2 linked regions of the Schizosaccharomyces pombe genome follow. The protein of the gene in region 1 interacts with the protein of each later gene in a pairwise test. Each region holds a gene or a part of one and is shown in the gene's direction. Other genes may lie near its edges.

Evidence for each region.
Region 2: the proteins of crm1 (region 1) and cuf1 interact in a two-hybrid assay, tested with the Schizosaccharomyces pombe proteins (one study listed by BioGRID).

Annotation. Positions count from the first base shown.
Region 1 is NC_003424.3:2,800,209-2,810,783, forward strand, and holds crm1 (karyopherin/importin beta family nuclear export signal receptor Crm1), read left to right. Parts: upstream 1-3,715; 5' UTR 3,716-3,913; intron 3,914-4,179; 5' UTR 4,180-4,299; coding exon 4,300-7,536; 3' UTR 7,537-8,045; downstream 8,046-10,575. Other genes in the region: HECT-type ubiquitin-protein ligase E3 Pub2, read right to left, coding at 1-23; SPOM_SPAC1805.16C (purine nucleoside phosphorylase), read right to left, coding at 745-1,692; transport protein Ugo1, read right to left, coding at 8,334-9,599.
Region 2 is NC_003424.3:406,691-413,643, reverse strand, and holds cuf1 (Cu-sensing transcription factor Cuf1), read left to right. Parts: upstream 1-3,798; 5' UTR 3,799-4,378; coding exon 4,379-5,614; 3' UTR 5,615-5,930; downstream 5,931-6,953. Other genes in the region: rod1 (arrestin/PY protein 1), read right to left, coding at 1-1,560; SPOM_SPAC31A2.10 (Ran GTPase binding protein), read right to left, coding at 6,179-6,953. UniProt on the Schizosaccharomyces pombe protein: Copper-sensing transcription factor that regulates iron uptake genes. Under copper starvation conditions activates the transcription of the copper transport genes, ctr4, ctr5 and ctr6.

The DNA of each region.
Region 1 (10,575 bases):
ACTTCAAAGCGAATATTTTCCATTCATAGAGTGTTTTATACCCAAGAAAACCAATTCCTTCGAATGCAGGTTATATTAATTGGTCTTTTAATCTTCTTAATGCAAGACCAAATCTTAATACATAAAATGTAAAAAAAGGACTGAATTTTGCGAGCAATTCGAAGAAAACTTGCTTTCAATAATATGGTGGAAAAAGATGAAACAATTACGGATCCAAGAGAGATTGGTAAACTACCATAAATTTGATTAGCGAAATGTTTTTGGACCGCGTTATTTTTTTGAAAGGGTATTGCGATAGTGGTAGAAGGATATCGTTACAATAAGAAAGCAACAGGTTTATTATCAAAAAGTTTTAAGGCAATATGACTCTAAATTAATAATTTAAGAAATTTGAAGCGAAATGTATCATTAACTATAAAAAAATAAGTCTAGAGGTGACCAGGGAACTTTGTATACTAAAAACAAATATTTCCTAATTGGTGTTTGGAAAATAACACAAACGACATTTAGGAAATATTGTCTAGTGAGTTCGTTTAAAGAAAGCAAGAAACGGTTATTGATGAGTAAAAGGATATTTTGGAAAAGATATTGAATGGCAACAAAACATCTAATTTACAGACATCAAAATAAGCGAAATGACTAGGATATATATCCTACGTTAGATAAATAAAATAGCTTAAAAGGATGTATAACAGATAAAGGAAATTTTTATTCTGGATAAAAAAGATTGTCAAAGAGGAGTGATTAAATAAAATTGACAATCGTCTCCACCATGGTACGAACATCGGCCGCGGCAGCGATACCAACTTCCAAAACCTCCAAGTGATTTGCAGCACCCTTAGACATGACATTCGAATCAACCTCCACTAAGTCTTTGGCAGAGGGGCTCTCTTCAACAACAACGTTGTTGGTAACCAAAGAAATGGCAAGAACACGAATACCACAATGACGCGCAACGACTACTTCGGGAACCGTAGACATGCCGACACAATCAGCTCCCATAAGAGCAAGCATTCGACTTTCAGCGCGAGTCTCAAAACACGGACCAGATACAAATGCATAACAACCTTCGTGAATTGTACGGCTAACCTTGTGAGCCTTGGCAGCATCGTAAACCAATTTTCGTAATTCTAAATCATAAGCATCCGATAATGGGGGGAAACGTACACCAAATTCGTGTGCATTAGGGCCTCTGAGAGGGTTCATGCCCGCGAGGCCAGGAAAATTGATGTGATCTTTAAGAATCATCAAATCACCAACTTTGAAACCTTGATTCAAGCCGCCAGCTGCGTTGGTAACAACCATGACTTCAACGCCCATGACTTTCATAAGACGAACAGGAAACGTGGTAGCTTCTATAGGATATCCCTCATAAGAGTGGTAACGACCAGCCAAAATCATAGTGGGAACGCGTTTCTCGCCCAAAAAGGCAAAGTACAATTTGGATGCGTGACCTGGAACATGGGAAACATGAAAGTGAGGAATATCTTCATAAGGAACTTCATAAACTGGAGCCGACAATCCAGAGGCTAATGTGCCCAAACCGCTACCGCAAATGATGGCAACTTTGGGCTTGGAAAGCTCTTCGGGGACTTGTTCAATGATGTATTCACGAGCCTCAAGCGCTTTAATGTAAGGTTCAGTATGATGGGGTTGCTGTTTTGCCTGGTGAAGAAAAGATGTAGCAGTCATTGTTGTTACAGAAGAGTTTCGAAAAAAAAAACAGAAATTTTGTATAAAAAAAGAAAGCAAGAACTAATATCTAAAAGGGAATTCTTTATCTTTAATATTTATTAGGCGTATTAGTAGCCAGGAAAAAGAATTTAAGGAATTTTAAAAATATGCAGTGGTGGGTAAATAGGGCCGATAGAATCAGTGTTAATTTGTTTTGAAAATTAGATGGGAAAATCGATAGCAATAACAATACTAACTGAAATACAAACAATAGAATGCACAGAGTTTTGAATAATGTGCAAGCAAAGACGAAGAGCTGGGAGTATCTTGGCAATTGACCTTTATAGAATATCAAAACAAAATAGTAAAAAATAAATAGAAAACGACGATTTTTTGGCACACACTTGATGCTATGCTTAATTTAATTTTGTTTTGTTTTTGTTTTTTGCTGAATATATGTGTAATAAAATTAATATTAGCCGTGAGAACAGAGTAATTGGAAAACACAGAATTGAATCCAACAATTGTTACAGGGAATTAAGTAAGAAATGGTCTATATAAATACTTCTACAAATGTTATTACTTCAACATATCACAGAAAAGCAGAAACCGGTATTACAAAAAGTCACCGAAATACATAATTTATATACGGGCTTTGGCAAACAAATGCGATATTTAGGACAGTGCTGGTCGGATGAAAGCGCCTATCAATTCAAATTTTCTTCGTGCTTGATAAGGAAATGTTGCAGATAAGAATAATGAAAAAGAAGAAAAAAAAAGAATAAACAAAAGCAAAATGTTCAACAAATTTGAAAAAAATTTAGTTCAACTGTAAATCAAAAACACGTTAATTTTACATTTAAAAATGTAAAATATAATGCGGCCAGAGAGGTTCGAACTCTCGCGTTTTACAACAGCAGGGATCAAGGCAGAAGCCTCTTAAATCTGCCCCCTTAGACCACTCGGGCATAGCCGCTTAATTGTACAAACTAATTAAATAGAGGTATATATCTATAAAAATAGTTGCGTGTACTGTAAATTGTCTGGGTTTATTAGAGTATATGTACACAACCTGACTAAAATCGTATAAATTAGTTAAAAAAAATGCATTGGATTTTTTATACCTTGAGAGCCATGCCAACTCCAAAGGTCAATATTTGGTTTAATGATTTTTTTTTCCTTCCCTTTTCTTTATTTAACACACTAAATGTCGGGTAACTGCGAGTTAATAACGAACATGATCAGTTTAATTCAATTTTCATTCTTTTCTATTTCCATATAGAATTGTGGCTGTAACCGCGAAGCATTTCATACGGAAAGTCGCCTTTATTTACATAAGCAACATCTTTGTTGTGTGGCTATAGGAGTTAAAGCAAAAAAGGCGAATTACTAAAGCACAATGAAATGGCAAATCTTTAGTAATAAGTATATTATTTCGTGCCGATGTTCCATAAACTTGGTTAAAATAATTTGGAAACATGATTCTAGCTGTAATTCAATTTTTTTAAATTCATAACAATTTTTAATTTACTGAATGATAAACTTTCCTTCTGTTTTGATTTACTCGTTGACTTGTAAATTGATAATTAAACCATAAAATACCTAATAATTCATAATAAAAAAATTTAAAAAAATAAATTGATGTTTTTCAAATGACCTGTCTTTGCTAAATACTTCAAAACAAACAAACAGAAAAATCCACGTACGACACATTTATTTCTGGTTTAAACGCGGACGTTACGATCAAATTCTTACCGCATTTCTCCCATTCACGGAAACGACCGAACGTCTTACCGGAGGAAGTAAATTTTGTTTCAAAACTAATACCATTTTTTTAAAAAATTGCAATCTGCTGATACACTCAGTTTTATCGCCATCATTCTCGTTCCATTTTATGTTTACTTCATTCCCATCAATTTCTGCCTATAATCACGTTGTTAAATTTCCTTAAAATAGATAACGCAAAACGATTGGATACGCTGCATGCTTGCTATTCTTCTTCGTGTTTCTTTGCCAGCCTTGCGGCCACACCTTTTACCTCCAACACAACACTTGTTCTTTTGCATTTCTACCCTGGGACGTTAGGCAGTAGCCTTTAACTGTATACATTCTTTCATTCTCTTGTTTCCATTGAGTACAAGACAAATTTCTATCGCGTGAAGCATCTCTTGGGACGAGGAATTTCGTTATAAACAAGAGAATTTGGAATATTTATTTGGTTTTTATTTATAGTAAGGAGGTAAGCACTTTGAACGCTCGTGTAGATACGTGTTATTTTCCTTGGTCTTCTTTTAGGAAGGATCTTGTTATCTTTCGATTTCCTGTTCTTCGATCTCTTGTTTGAGTTAATTATTGTTTTTTCTCTATTATTTTTGCAAGGGAGGAGTAATTAATCAGCAAGTAGGAGATTAAAAATTTATATTATTTTGTTTCTATTCGATAAAATTAATTTTTCTTCTACTTTTTTTTATTTTTTTTTTCAAATTTCTAACTTGATTGCTGAAGTCCTTTATACATATACAATCGCATAAGGTTGAGGTAATTATCCTTTTCTTTTTACTTAAGACATTTGTTCAATACGTTGCCAACCATCAATTTACATTTTTTGCTTTTTGATTTGTAAATATGGAGGGCATCCTGGCATTCGATCGCGAATTAGACGTTGCCCTTTTGGATCGTGTTGTCCAAACCTTTTACCAAGGTGTCGGTGCAGAGCAACAACAGGCTCAACAAGTCCTGACCCAATTTCAGGCACATCCAGATGCATGGTCGCAGGCTTACTCCATCTTGGAAAAATCAGAATATCCCCAAACTAAATATATCGCTCTTTCCGTCCTTGACAAGCTTATCACCACTCGTTGGAAAATGCTTCCCAAGGAGCAGCGATTGGGAATTCGCAATTATATTGTTGCTGTTATGATAAAGAACTCGTCAGACGAAACTGTCCTGCAACAACAAAAAACTTTTCTTAATAAATTGGACCTCACTCTCGTTCAGATTCTTAAACAAGAATGGCCTCATAATTGGCCCAACTTCATCCCGGAAATTGTCCAAGCCAGTAAAACAAACCTTTCACTTTGTGAAAATAACATGATAGTCCTTCGTCTTCTGAGTGAAGAAATTTTTGATTACTCAGCTGAGCAAATGACTCAGCTCAAAACCAAAAATTTAAAAAACCAAATGTGTGGCGAATTCGCCGAGATTTTTCAACTATGCTCACAAATTCTCGAACGTGCGCAAAAACCTAGCCTAATCAAGGCTACCTTGGGAACACTTCTCCGATTTTTGAATTGGATACCCCTTGGCTATATATTTGAAACAAACATTGTTGAGTTAATTACAAATCGATTCCTAAATGTTCCTGATTTTAGAAACGTTACCATTGAATGTCTTACCGAAATAGCTAGTCTTACTTCTCAACCTCAGTACAACGATAAATTTGTTACAATGTTTAACCTTGTGATGACCTCTGTTAATTCTATGCTTCCTTTACAAACTGATTTTCGTGAGGCTTATGAAGAAAGTAGCACAAACGAGCAAGACTTTATCCAAAATTTGGCTCTCTTCCTTTGCGCTTTCTTTAGCTCTCATCTTCGACCATTAGAAAATCCTGAAAATCAAGAAGTCCTTCTTAATGCTCATTCCTACCTTCTTAATATCTCGCGAATTAACGAGCGAGAAATTTTCAAGATCTGCCTGGAATATTGGTCAAAATTAGTAGCTCAGCTTTATGAAGAAATGCAGCAAATCCCCATGTCTGAAATGAATCCATTACTTAATCTTTCTAGTCCTACATCTCTCATTTCTTCTAATCCTAATATGTTAGCCAATCTTCCTTTAAGGAAACATATCTATAAAGATATACTTTCAACTCTTCGATTGGTTATGATTGAAAACATGGTCAAGCCCGAAGAAGTCCTCATCGTCGAAAATGACGAAGGTGAAATTGTTCGTGAATTTGTTAAAGAGACGGATACAATTACCCTTTATAAATCTATGCGTGAGGTTCTTGTGTACCTCACTCACTTGGACGTGGTTGATACTGAAATCGTTATGACTGAAAAACTTGCACGTATTGTTGTTGGTACAGAATGGTCTTGGCAAAATTTGAATACTCTTTGTTGGGCAATCGGCTCAATATCCGGTGCTATGAATGAAGAAATGGAAAAGCGCTTTCTTGTTAACGTGATTAAAGATTTATTGGGCCTTTGTGAAATGAAACGTGGCAAAGATAATAAGGCTGTTGTTGCCTCTAACATTATGTACGTTGTAGGTCAATATCCTCGCTTTTTAAAAGCTCATTGGAAATTTCTCAAGACCGTCGTCAATAAGCTATTTGAGTTTATGCACGAATATCATGAAGGTGTTCAGGATATGGCTTGTGATACATTCATTAAGATTGCTCAAAAATGTCGTCGCCATTTTGTTGCTCAACAACTGGGAGAAACGGAGCCGTTTATCAACGAAATTATTCGTAACTTGGCCAAGACGACTGAAGATTTAACTCCTCAACAGACTCATACTTTTTATGAGGCGTGCGGTTATATGATTTCTGCTCAACCTCAAAAACATCTTCAAGAACGTCTCATTTTTGACCTTATGGCGTTACCCAATCAGGCCTGGGAAAATATTGTCGCTCAGGCTGCACAAAACGCTCAAGTTTTAGGGGACCCTCAGACCGTTAAAATATTAGCAAATGTTCTAAAGACAAACGTTGCTGCATGTACTTCTATTGGTTCCGGTTTCTATCCTCAAATTGCTAAAAATTATGTAGATATGCTTGGTCTTTACAAGGCTGTTAGCGGTTTAATATCAGAAGTGGTTGCTGCCCAAGGAAATATTGCTACCAAAACTCCCCACGTCAGGGGATTACGAACTATCAAAAAAGAAATTTTGAAATTAGTAGATGCTTATATAAGTCGAGCGGAAGATTTGGAGTTGGTCGGAAATACTCTCATTCCTGCGCTTTTCGAAGCAGTGTTGCTTGATTATTTACAAAATGTTCCTGACGCTCGTGATGCCGAAGTTCTTAATTTGATAACCACCATTGTCAATCAACTTAGCGAACTCCTTACTGATAAGATTCCTCTTGTTCTTGATGCTGTTTTTGGATGCACCCTTGAAATGATTAGTAAAGATTTTTCGGAATACCCCGAACATCGTGCAGCATTTTTTCAACTTTTACGCGCCATTAACTTGAATTGTTTCCCCGCTTTGCTCAACATCCCGGCACCACAATTCAAACTAGTGATCAATAGTATTGTATGGTCCTTTAAGCATGTTAGTCGCGACATTCAAGAAACCGGACTTAACATCTTACTTGAACTTATTAATAACATGGCGAGTATGGGACCTGATGTTTCAAATGCATTTTTCCAAACTTATTATATTAGCTTACTACAAGATATATTGTATGTTTTGACTGACTCTGATCACAAATCTGGCTTTAAGCTTCAAAGCTTAATTTTGGCTCGGCTTTTCTATCTGGTTGAATCAAACCAGATTACTGTACCTCTCTACGATCCTTCTCAATTCCCCCAGGAAATGAACAATCAATTATTTTTAAGACAGTATATCATGAATCTACTAGTCACAGCTTTCCCCCATCTTCAACCTATCCAAATCCAAGAATTTGTACAGACAGTGCTAGCTCTTAATCAGGACAGCATCAAATTTAAACTTGCTTTACGTGACTTTTTAATTCAATTGAAAGAATTCGGCGGGGATAACGCTGAACTTTACTTGGAGGAGAAAGAACAAGAGTTGGCTGCTCAACAAAAAGCCCAACTGGAGAAAGCTATGACTGTTCCTGGTATGATCAAACCTGTCGATATGCCTACTATGGAGGAGGAAGAACTATGATATTCTTCAGCAAAAACGTATTTAAGCTTAGAACTTTAAAATATGAAAGGAATTATATATTTGGTATCTTTTACTATTGACTTAATTGTGGATGTTATTTATCCCTGTTACTTGAGAAGTTTACTTAATTCCTTTTTTTTCTTTTTTTTTTTTTTGAAAAGCAAGAAGGGTTTTTGACATGACATGGCCCGTAATTCAACGTGTTAGATAGCAAAATGATGGCGCCAGTTGTTATTGATTGCAATTCAAACTATATAAAAAAGTAATAAAAAAGCATAAAGTCTTTAGAGATTCAACTTTCCGTGCAGTGTTGTAAATTAGAAAATTAAAGCATTGTAAGGATTTGGGTTGCCTCATTTTTTATACTGTTTATAAATTGAACGAGCAGCTATACTTGAATAACACTATGAAGTCTCGTGTAAGAGATCTCAATGCGACGTTGAAGTCCTTTTTATTGAATGCTGGCGTTATGCAACCTTGCTAAAGGAAACACCAACGTATTTTCACATAACTACGTTTTTGCTTCTAGAAAATGTATTATTACCTTTAATAAATTATGTAGCTACTACTATTCCGTTAGAGAATACGGTAAGAAAGAAAAACGAAAACATTAAACATAAATCAAACTTACAACTACAAATATGACTATTCGTGTAGTAATTTGGAATAAAAAAAATTCCAAATTACAAAACATCACCTAACTAAAACCTTTTTGAGAATTCCGTAATTTACCATGTGAACTTTCGTCTCTTCTGACTTTGTCTAATAAACAGACAATCAGACCCAAAACCTGAATACTAAAATTCAACTTCTTCACGCAAATTAGAGGAGATGTAGTTCAATGCTAAGGTACTCGACATTCCCCAAATACCCACTCGCCATCCACGATACAAACCTTCTATTCCAAATTTACCCGGATCTTCTTCGCTTAAAAGACACCATATGGTACCGACGATACCAGTGTATTTGCCTACGGGAACGATAGTTTGGGGTGGAAGGTTGCATTCATACTGGGCTTGTGCTCTTCGAAGTACCATTTCTAAAGGGCATTTGAGAAGAAATTGAACGGCTGAAGTGCCCAAGCCAACCATTGCATCAAGTGTAGGAGATGAGCCCAAAAAGTTGCGGAATGTTAGTGGAAGCACACTCGAAACAAATGGTGGTAAGCTGACATAACAAACTGTGGGTAAAATTAACGATGAAGGGCAGTAAAAAGGCAATGCTTTCAAGCATTGTCTGATAGTAAGAGGTTTAAATTTTTTATGCGAATTGCCAGAAGTTTCAGAAGCTGAAGACAAATAGGAAGATGAGGAAATGGGGAAAAGAATTATTTTTGTTCTGGCAATATCAAGGGGAGATAGAATAAGAGCAGAGATCGCAGAAGTAATGGATTTGATGAAAAGGGAAAGAAGAGGCCGAACAGAATCTATAGGTGAAATAATGTTTGGATCTGCTATTGCGAGAGCTCCAGATAATGTTGCCGAAAGCCAGGACTGTAGGCCGGAATAAAGTAAGTTATGCAAAAAGCTGATTGTATGACCTTTCCATAAACCCCTAGCTCCTTCTTTCTCCCATAGCTCACTAATGATACTTTTAATCGAAAATCTTTTCGAATGAATTGTATAGCTTCTCTCGATGAGATTCGAAGGATCAGTTACATAGCCAGACGCATCGACGCAAAGTTTCTCAGCTAGCTGTTCTGTTACTGCCTTTTCTGTGGTAGGTGTTTCAAAGTAAGCATAGATTTCGTGTTCATCATCACTGAGACCTTCCTGTTCTGTGCCATCGGGAATATCCTCATCATAAGGCTCCTTTGTTTGTTTCCCATCACGCTCAATTTTAGTTCGTTTTGGTAAATATTCTTCTACTTGACAGACAGTTTTTGCTACTTCCAATGGCTGTACAAAAAACGTCGTTAAATATTTGGTCACTAGAATACTTCTGAGTGTCTCAAAAATCTCACTCTTGCTTATGGTCGGTTGCGTCTCAAACGTTGGTTCTGGAGTTATCGAAAAAGTAGGCTCAACATTGTTAACCACGACATATGGTCTGTATGGATTCATGCTGTATGCTTGCTCTTTTCCAAAATGAGTTCTCCAAACTCGTTTACGAATGATTCAATATATAGATTTAACTGCAAATAATTTCAAAAATTGCTTAGCTTTGGATAAAAAATTAATAAAAGAAGTCGTTAACCTTCATCAATCCTTTGAATTCTGGTAAATTAACAAACTTTTTGGTACCAAAGTGTGATGGCTTATAGTAAGGTATCACCAACTTGAAGGTATGATACGCACAGAAAGCAATGGACCCAAAAGTTACTATACACCAAATTCTGCAAAATATTATTACGACAATCACTAGACATTATTAAAAAATCTACTAAATTATCTTAATGAAAATTGGTAACAACTCAAGAACAAACAGTTAAGTTTGCTGTGCGCCTGCTTTGAAAATGAAAATCAATAACTGGACGTACAATCCAATAATAAATGTTTTATACTTACATTTCAATTCAAATTGTCAAACACAAAAATGCAAATCTTATATCTCCACAATGACTAAAAGCAAGAATTTAAAACTAAAACACTTCAAAAACGACCATACAAAGTCGGTTCAATACATGCACAAATAGTTGTTGAAAGCACATACATAAGTATATATATCTATATTTATATAATGATCATCCTTCAAATGCCATTCAACTCATTCTGATCCACTGAAACAACAAACCAAAGTTTACGCGAGCAATTAATACATGATAGACGATAATAATATGTACATTAAGGTAAATGCCTATCAAACTCACAAGTAAAAGAATATGAGAAAACTTTGTAGAAAGTTAGGAAAAAAGGAACACGTAGAAAAAGGAGCGTTCCATCGAGCTTGAAATATCCGTCCAAACTTTACTAACTTTTGTTCAAGTAGATTGGGGTTGTTTTAGAAACAAGAAATTATTACTTTGAACTAGACGCAAACCACACGAACTAGACAAAAGATGTTAAAAAGAATGGAAATATTTGGCAGAAAGGAAAAGAA
Region 2 (6,953 bases), 2.4 Mb from region 1:
TCGTGTACTTTCAGTTGGAGAAACAAAAAATGAAGGAGATGTACGTTGTGGTGGAGTAACGATACCAGGTGATGGAGGACGTGAAAGGTGCTCAATTCGTGCAACATCTTCATAACTAGGTAATGTTGATTGTAAGGGTGATTCTAATGGAACGGCTGATCTTGTTGCTTCCTTATAAGAAGGGACTCTGCTCAGATCTGCCAAACTAGTTTCTGAAGGGTTTCTAGTAATTACAGCAGAGGCAGCTCCACTGGATGGATTAGAGCCTAAACTGAAAGAAGGCGGGAAATCTTCAGGATGATTTGACGGTGAATGTTCGTTGGGGCTCCTTCCTTGCGGTTGTTGTTGTAGAGCCAACTCTGTCAAACCAGCAATGAGTTGTCGCCTATGAGCTTCATTAGAAGCATAGGTGGGCTCCATAGAATCGCGTCGCCTTGGTGTAGTTGCGCCACTAGGGAGAGGTGTATCAAGGTTGGAATAGCTCAAACCATCGTAAAGACGATCATACATGCTGTTTTGATAGCTAGGTAAAGGCTGATTAAAACTTTCAAAATTCTCGCGTAACGACTCTACTTCGGCACGATCGCCAAATAATTGAGGAGGTATCATCAAGACTACAGGTAATGCAGCTCTTAATTCTGATATATGGCCATCAGGATTTCTTAGGGAAACGGAAAACTTTAATTTGTGACGTATTTTAATTCCATCCAAATCACAATCCTGAAGACATTCCACAAGAGAACTTGGTAGTTCCAAGTTCTTTGTAAGTTCATAGTGATCGGAAAACTCCTCCAATTCTTCGGTTTGAAGAGAACGAACGGTCCTGACTTCATCTTTCGATGCCGGTAAACCGTTATATCCATGAGCGACATGCAACGTGATGTATTCTTTCAAGGTTATACTGATTTTTCCAATAGTTAGCCTCTTCAGCAACGGAACTAATACAAAATGAATGGGAATATATGACCCAATTGCATAGGCTTTTGTTGGAACGCTGATGGTATACTCAATTTTGTTTGGCCAAGTATTATCAACGCTAATGGTTTGAGTATATTCAATGGCATCCGCAGGCAATGCTCGAATAAGACGGATGTGTTTCTTTTTCACCATTTTGCTAGCTAAACCCGTTCTATCGATGCTTGCTTTAAGACGATAAACAACATAGCAACTTTGAAGACCTTCGACAGATTCAGCAATATCACCGGGAAGCATTACGTGAAACGGATACTCGTAGTTTCCAGCACGTAAAGTACGGTTGGCACCCGTATAAGGAACGAAGATCCAGTTTTTCTCGTAAACAACATATTCTTGCTTATTGTGTCTTTGGCCGCCTCTTACAGTCGGAGAAGGTTCTGACCAGGAGATGCGACATTTTCCCACTAGTTTTAGAGATATTGCTTTGACACTGATGGCTTCATTGAGACACAGAACTACAGATCCTGACAGTGGTGTCGGTTCTGCCGAGTCTGCTAGGCCTTGAATTACGATAAGATCATGCTCTGCAGCTACACGAATATCGAAGTAGGAAGCGACATTTTCTTTCCTTGAGAGAATATTCATCTCTAACACAAGGAACCAATTTTATATTTGAAAAGGGATTCAAAAGTAAGAATAATGAATTCTCTCTGAAATATTTAGTCAACAATTTTATGTAAATAACTATTACAACCCAAAAGACCCCGGCTTTGGATTATTTGAGAATGTACTACCCTGAAACAATTAGACAAAAAAACGAAAAGTACCGTGTTAAAAAATTTCCCTTAAAATTTGATTTGTGTATACAAAAATGCAAAAATACTTTTTCTTGGGGTTTATAACTTCAATAATGTAGACAAAGCGAAGGTTAAAGGACTGTTGTGTGGTGACGTTTTTATAAGCAACCTGCTGTAATATAGTATTACATACTTTCTCACATTACATAAACAAAGTTTAGCTAGTTTCGTTATACACACTATTGTGTAAATTTTAAACAATTTTAGATGTTTCACTAGTTTGTACGAAGTAAATAAAATTTTTAAAATAGTCGTGTTTTTTATATATTAAGCGGGACTGTTTTCGTATCCCTCATTCATAGCTATGCAACGAAATACCCGGGCAAGCTTGATTCAGTGGACAAGGTACGTTATTGGGTTTTACTAGAGACAGATGTGCAGAATATTGGTAAGAACCTTCTTTCCCCACTTTAAACTTTTCATTACATTTTTTCTTAAACATCACATAGTAAAAATAAGTGCTATGCGTTTGAATTTTTCAGTTTTTTGCTGTTTATTGATACCTTCAATCGACTCTCATTCACCATCGATATATAACAAACTCCTTTCTTAACTAACCCCTCTACTCTATAAACATTAGCACAACTTAATCTTCAGTTTAATTGAAATTAAGTATCCCACATTGTACAAATACAATATAGCAAATATGAGTGGCTAGAATAATACAGCATTAAAAGTTTGAGTTTTGAGTGTTAACCAAATATTTAATAAGCTTTATGATTAGTAAAGGACAGTAATCCTGAGACACGCTTAATAGTCAATAGCACCTTTTTGGTATTATTATTTGAATCTCGTGTAGTGTGACTCGCTTTCTATAGCCTCATTGAACTTTCCATCATTATAGCAAAACTTTTAATTCACAATGCATTACCGTTTTTGGAATCAATTCGCAAGACTCTGATATATATCGAGGAATGGTTTATTTTCATTTTAATTTATAAGTGTGCCTCTGAACAATTACGAATTATAGATGTGGATATCATTGACGTCTCATTGTTATTATTTTTTACATTGCTAGTGTGTTTCCTGCTTCTGTTATAAATGTTGCACAACTTGTAGAGCTATTAAAAAAAAATATTATTTTAGATGTTTCTATAATATCAAATATCGTTACGTATCCATCGAATAATTACAAGAAATTAAGACTAAACCCAGATTACAAACCTCTAATCAAATGCAACTGCTGAATCCAATCCCCCCACTTAACGTATTGCTACAATAATCTGATCCAGTGTTATGCTACAATTATACACTATCTCTGAATTAACGTAATGGAGCATTAATGATTTTTAAAAAAGGTAATACTTTCGCTAGTTTGTATAGCAAAGCAGTCAAGTCACTTCTCCACAAAGGCAGGTTAGGAGGTTACCAAATGTTTGGGTAAATAATTAGACGTATGCATGTAATAAGAAAGAAAGTTGTACTAACGTAGTTACTAGGTGTTAAATAAAGCTTTATCCTTTATTTTTTATTTTTTAATAGTACCTAAATTGTATAAGTTGGAAACCAAAAAATAATCTGTAAGTAAAGAGAAAAAATTTGTTCATAAATTCGAATAGCGACATTAAAGCAAATTTTCTTTGTATAAATTAAAATTAAAAAAAATTTTAATCTTAAATGTTTACATCGCGAACAGTAATGTAAAAAGTTGCACAATTGGCAAAATCAAATTTAGGAAATAAATTTTTGAAGTATAAAAGAAATAAACTGTATAAAGGACTTAACATGATGAACGAATTTAAACAAATTGAAAAAAATATGTATATTTAATTACAAATTACAGCTCAAAAGCTTCAAAGTCATACCCTCGTCTTCTTAAATGTATTTATTTATTCAATAAATTTAAAAAAAAATTTTCGAATCCCTTGAGAATCGATTTTCATCTTAAAACTGTTAATAGTTTGATCTTCCTTTAGTTTAAATCTTTAAGCAAACTTGTCACGTATCATTACTGCCTTCAGAAAAAGCAGCTTCTTCGTACATATTGTCGGAAGGCATAGCTTGCGCTGTGGTTAAGCCAACACCCAGTTTCCGACAACCAAACAAATCTGCTTTGGTATAAAACATTGTGAACACTGTATATACTTCTAGTAAAGGAAAATTTGGCTTCCTAAGTTAATTAATATTTGAAAACTGCTTTTTGGGCGATTTTGTTGTAATTTGGTGAACCTAAGTTCATCCGGAAAGTATATCACACTGCTATCAGGTTTGAGCAAAAAAGTTCTACTGATCTGTAAAAATTACTTACTTTTTATTTAAAAAAAAAAAAAGAAACACACTTCATTCTTATAAAAGTGGCTAATTTCAACTAATCAATTGCTCCAAATATCGTCGTTGTCCAAAACTGAATGTCGCATGCAATTTTTCTTCTCTCCTCGTTCGTGATTTTCTTTTCTACTAAGCATCTATATAAATAAGTTCATTAATTTCTTATTTGATAATCCAATATTTTTTATTTTTATTTTTATTTCTTGGTTTTATTCATTACTTCTACATCCTCCCATTGAGCTTCCATTTGAGAGATTTGGTCATTCATCTTCGAACGTGAATTTGTTTTAACCAAAATCTTGTCATTAAAGCAATCCTCTTTCATCCTATATTCCAAAATGGTTGTAATCAATAACGTTAAAATGGCATGCATGAAGTGCATTCGTGGGCATCGCTCTAGCACCTGCAAACATAATGACCGTGAACTCTTTCCTATTAGACCTAAAGGTCGTCCCATCAGTCAATGTGAAAAATGTAGAATCGCTAGAATTACTAGGCATTTACACGTGAAGTGTACCTGTAATAGCAGAAAAAAGGGTTCCAAATGTTCTACCTCGAGTACAACTGATTTAGATTCTTCATCTGCTTCCAACTCATCTTGTTCTATCCCATCCTCTATATCTGAAAAACTGTTACCGCGCGACAACGTTAAAACGCATTGTCCAAAAAGGAGTGCTTCGTGCTGTGGTAAAAAACCTGATGTGATGCCTCTTAAAATAAACCTTGAGTCTCAAACTGACTTTATGGGTATGCCACTTCAGTCTCAAAGACCACATTCGGAATCCTATCGTATGCTTCCTGAACCAGAAAAGTTCAAGTCTGAGTACGGGTATCCATCCCAGTTTTTGCCAATTGAAAAGTTAACTTCGAATGTCGCTTACCCTCCTAACTATAATAATTATTTAAAATCTCCTTACCAGCAGCCGACCAATTTCCCTCCTGAAATTCAGTATAATTATTCTCATTCTCCCCAACATAGTATTCAGGAAGCGGAAGAAGCAGCGGTTTATGGTCCTCCTGTTTATCGTAGTGGATATCAAATTCTTTACAACAACAACACTGATTCTATAGCTGCTGCTGCTGCTACGCATGATTTATACCCACAGCCGGATGTTCCTTTGACTTTCGCTATGCTGGCAGATGGAAATTATGTACCTTTACCATCATCAACTAATACATATGGACCCTCTAATTCCTATGGGTACGAGATTAACATAAATGAGAGCACTAATCATGTCGACTCATCGTATCTGCCACATCCAATCCAGCTTTCTAATTATTTTACTCTCCCCTCTAGTTGTGCACAGGCTGATGCTGCTTGTCAATGCGGTGATAATTGTGAATGCTTAGGTTGTCTTACTCATCCAAACAATGCAACTACATTAGCCGCTTTAAATCATATTTCAGCTTTAGAAAAGGAAACCATAAGTCATACTGATCTCCATCATACTTTCAAGCACGAAGTTAATTCTAGCAATAATTATGAACTTACAAACGATGAATTAGCAGCATCCTCTCCATTATATACCTCAAGCAGTGTTCCTCCTTCTCATATTACAACAGGTTCAACATGAATTTTTTAAAAGTTTTCTGCAAGATAAGTATGAGCTGGCTCACCTATTGCACTTTATGTTTATTTTCTCCATCTTTCTTTCCTTCTGTTTTCGTATAACGCTTAAATTGATCTTTAAATAGATGAAGTGTGTGGCACGCAAAACTTATATATTATTATTTAATCTCAGATTTTGGTAGATCTTGTATATTTATAAACTGTTAATGCTATCAAGAGGGTTTATTATTTTACAAATGATTCATTTTTTTATGGTCACTTGGATTAATTAGCATTTTCTTAAAAAAGTATTTGAATTAATAAAAAAATTATGACAAAAACGATACGAGTACAAGTGATAAGTAGTCCATTTTGAAAGTCATTTAATCATGACAATAAAATAATACGTTCTTTGGCTGAAATCAGCATTGCTGATATCCGATTTTTATGAAAATTTTATAAATATAACGATTGTTTGTTAATTGTGTCATTAAGTAGACAAGGTCTGTAAAAATAATTAATTTTATTTCGAAATAACTTCGTTCAATAGTAAAAATACATGAGCTTGTTGATCCAAATTAACCCGTGCTTAGTTACTATTCAACATCGCAGCCAACTGAGAATCAGTCATTTCAAGACAAGAAATCTGGTGAAGTTCTTGCAATGAACAGAGACGAAGAAGGTATTCCAATAACGAAAGGCTGCCTGGGTTAGTCAGATATATGGATGTCTCGGGTTCAAGCTTTAGAGAGTGCATTGCGTTAGCTATCTCCTCTTCTGCAGGATCCGATGATATTTGAGCACTATATTCATTATTTCCAATATTTTTGTTTCTGTTTCCTATTGAGAATTCAGAATCACTTAATATGTCGGACAAATCTTCACTTTCTGAATCTGAAATATCCAATGCATTGACTTCGAAATATTTCTCTAAAGCTATCCAGTCAATATTTTGATGAAACTTAGTTTTATCGTTATTTTTAATAAACGGATTATTTAAATCTTCCGAATTATCCTGATGCGCTTTATCTAAAGCAGATACGTCTTTTATAGATGTTAGCTGCAATGCAAGAACAGGAGATTTAGCTTGTGAAATATTAAGCAGTCTACCAGAAACAGTATAACAAAGTAAAGACATCCTTTGTAAACTTATTTCAAGTTTTTTCCCAAAAACTGGCGCAGACGTCGGTTTACCAACTGTTTCTTCGTGATATCTTCCATCATTCAAATCCTCATCTATACAGATCACGTAAGAAAACTTTTGCGACGCAGATACGACGCGTTTAATATACAGATCGGACTTTGCAAATGTCTCTTGCCATCGGACATCCAGTGGCCCATCCGATTTGGAAGGTTGAGAAAAC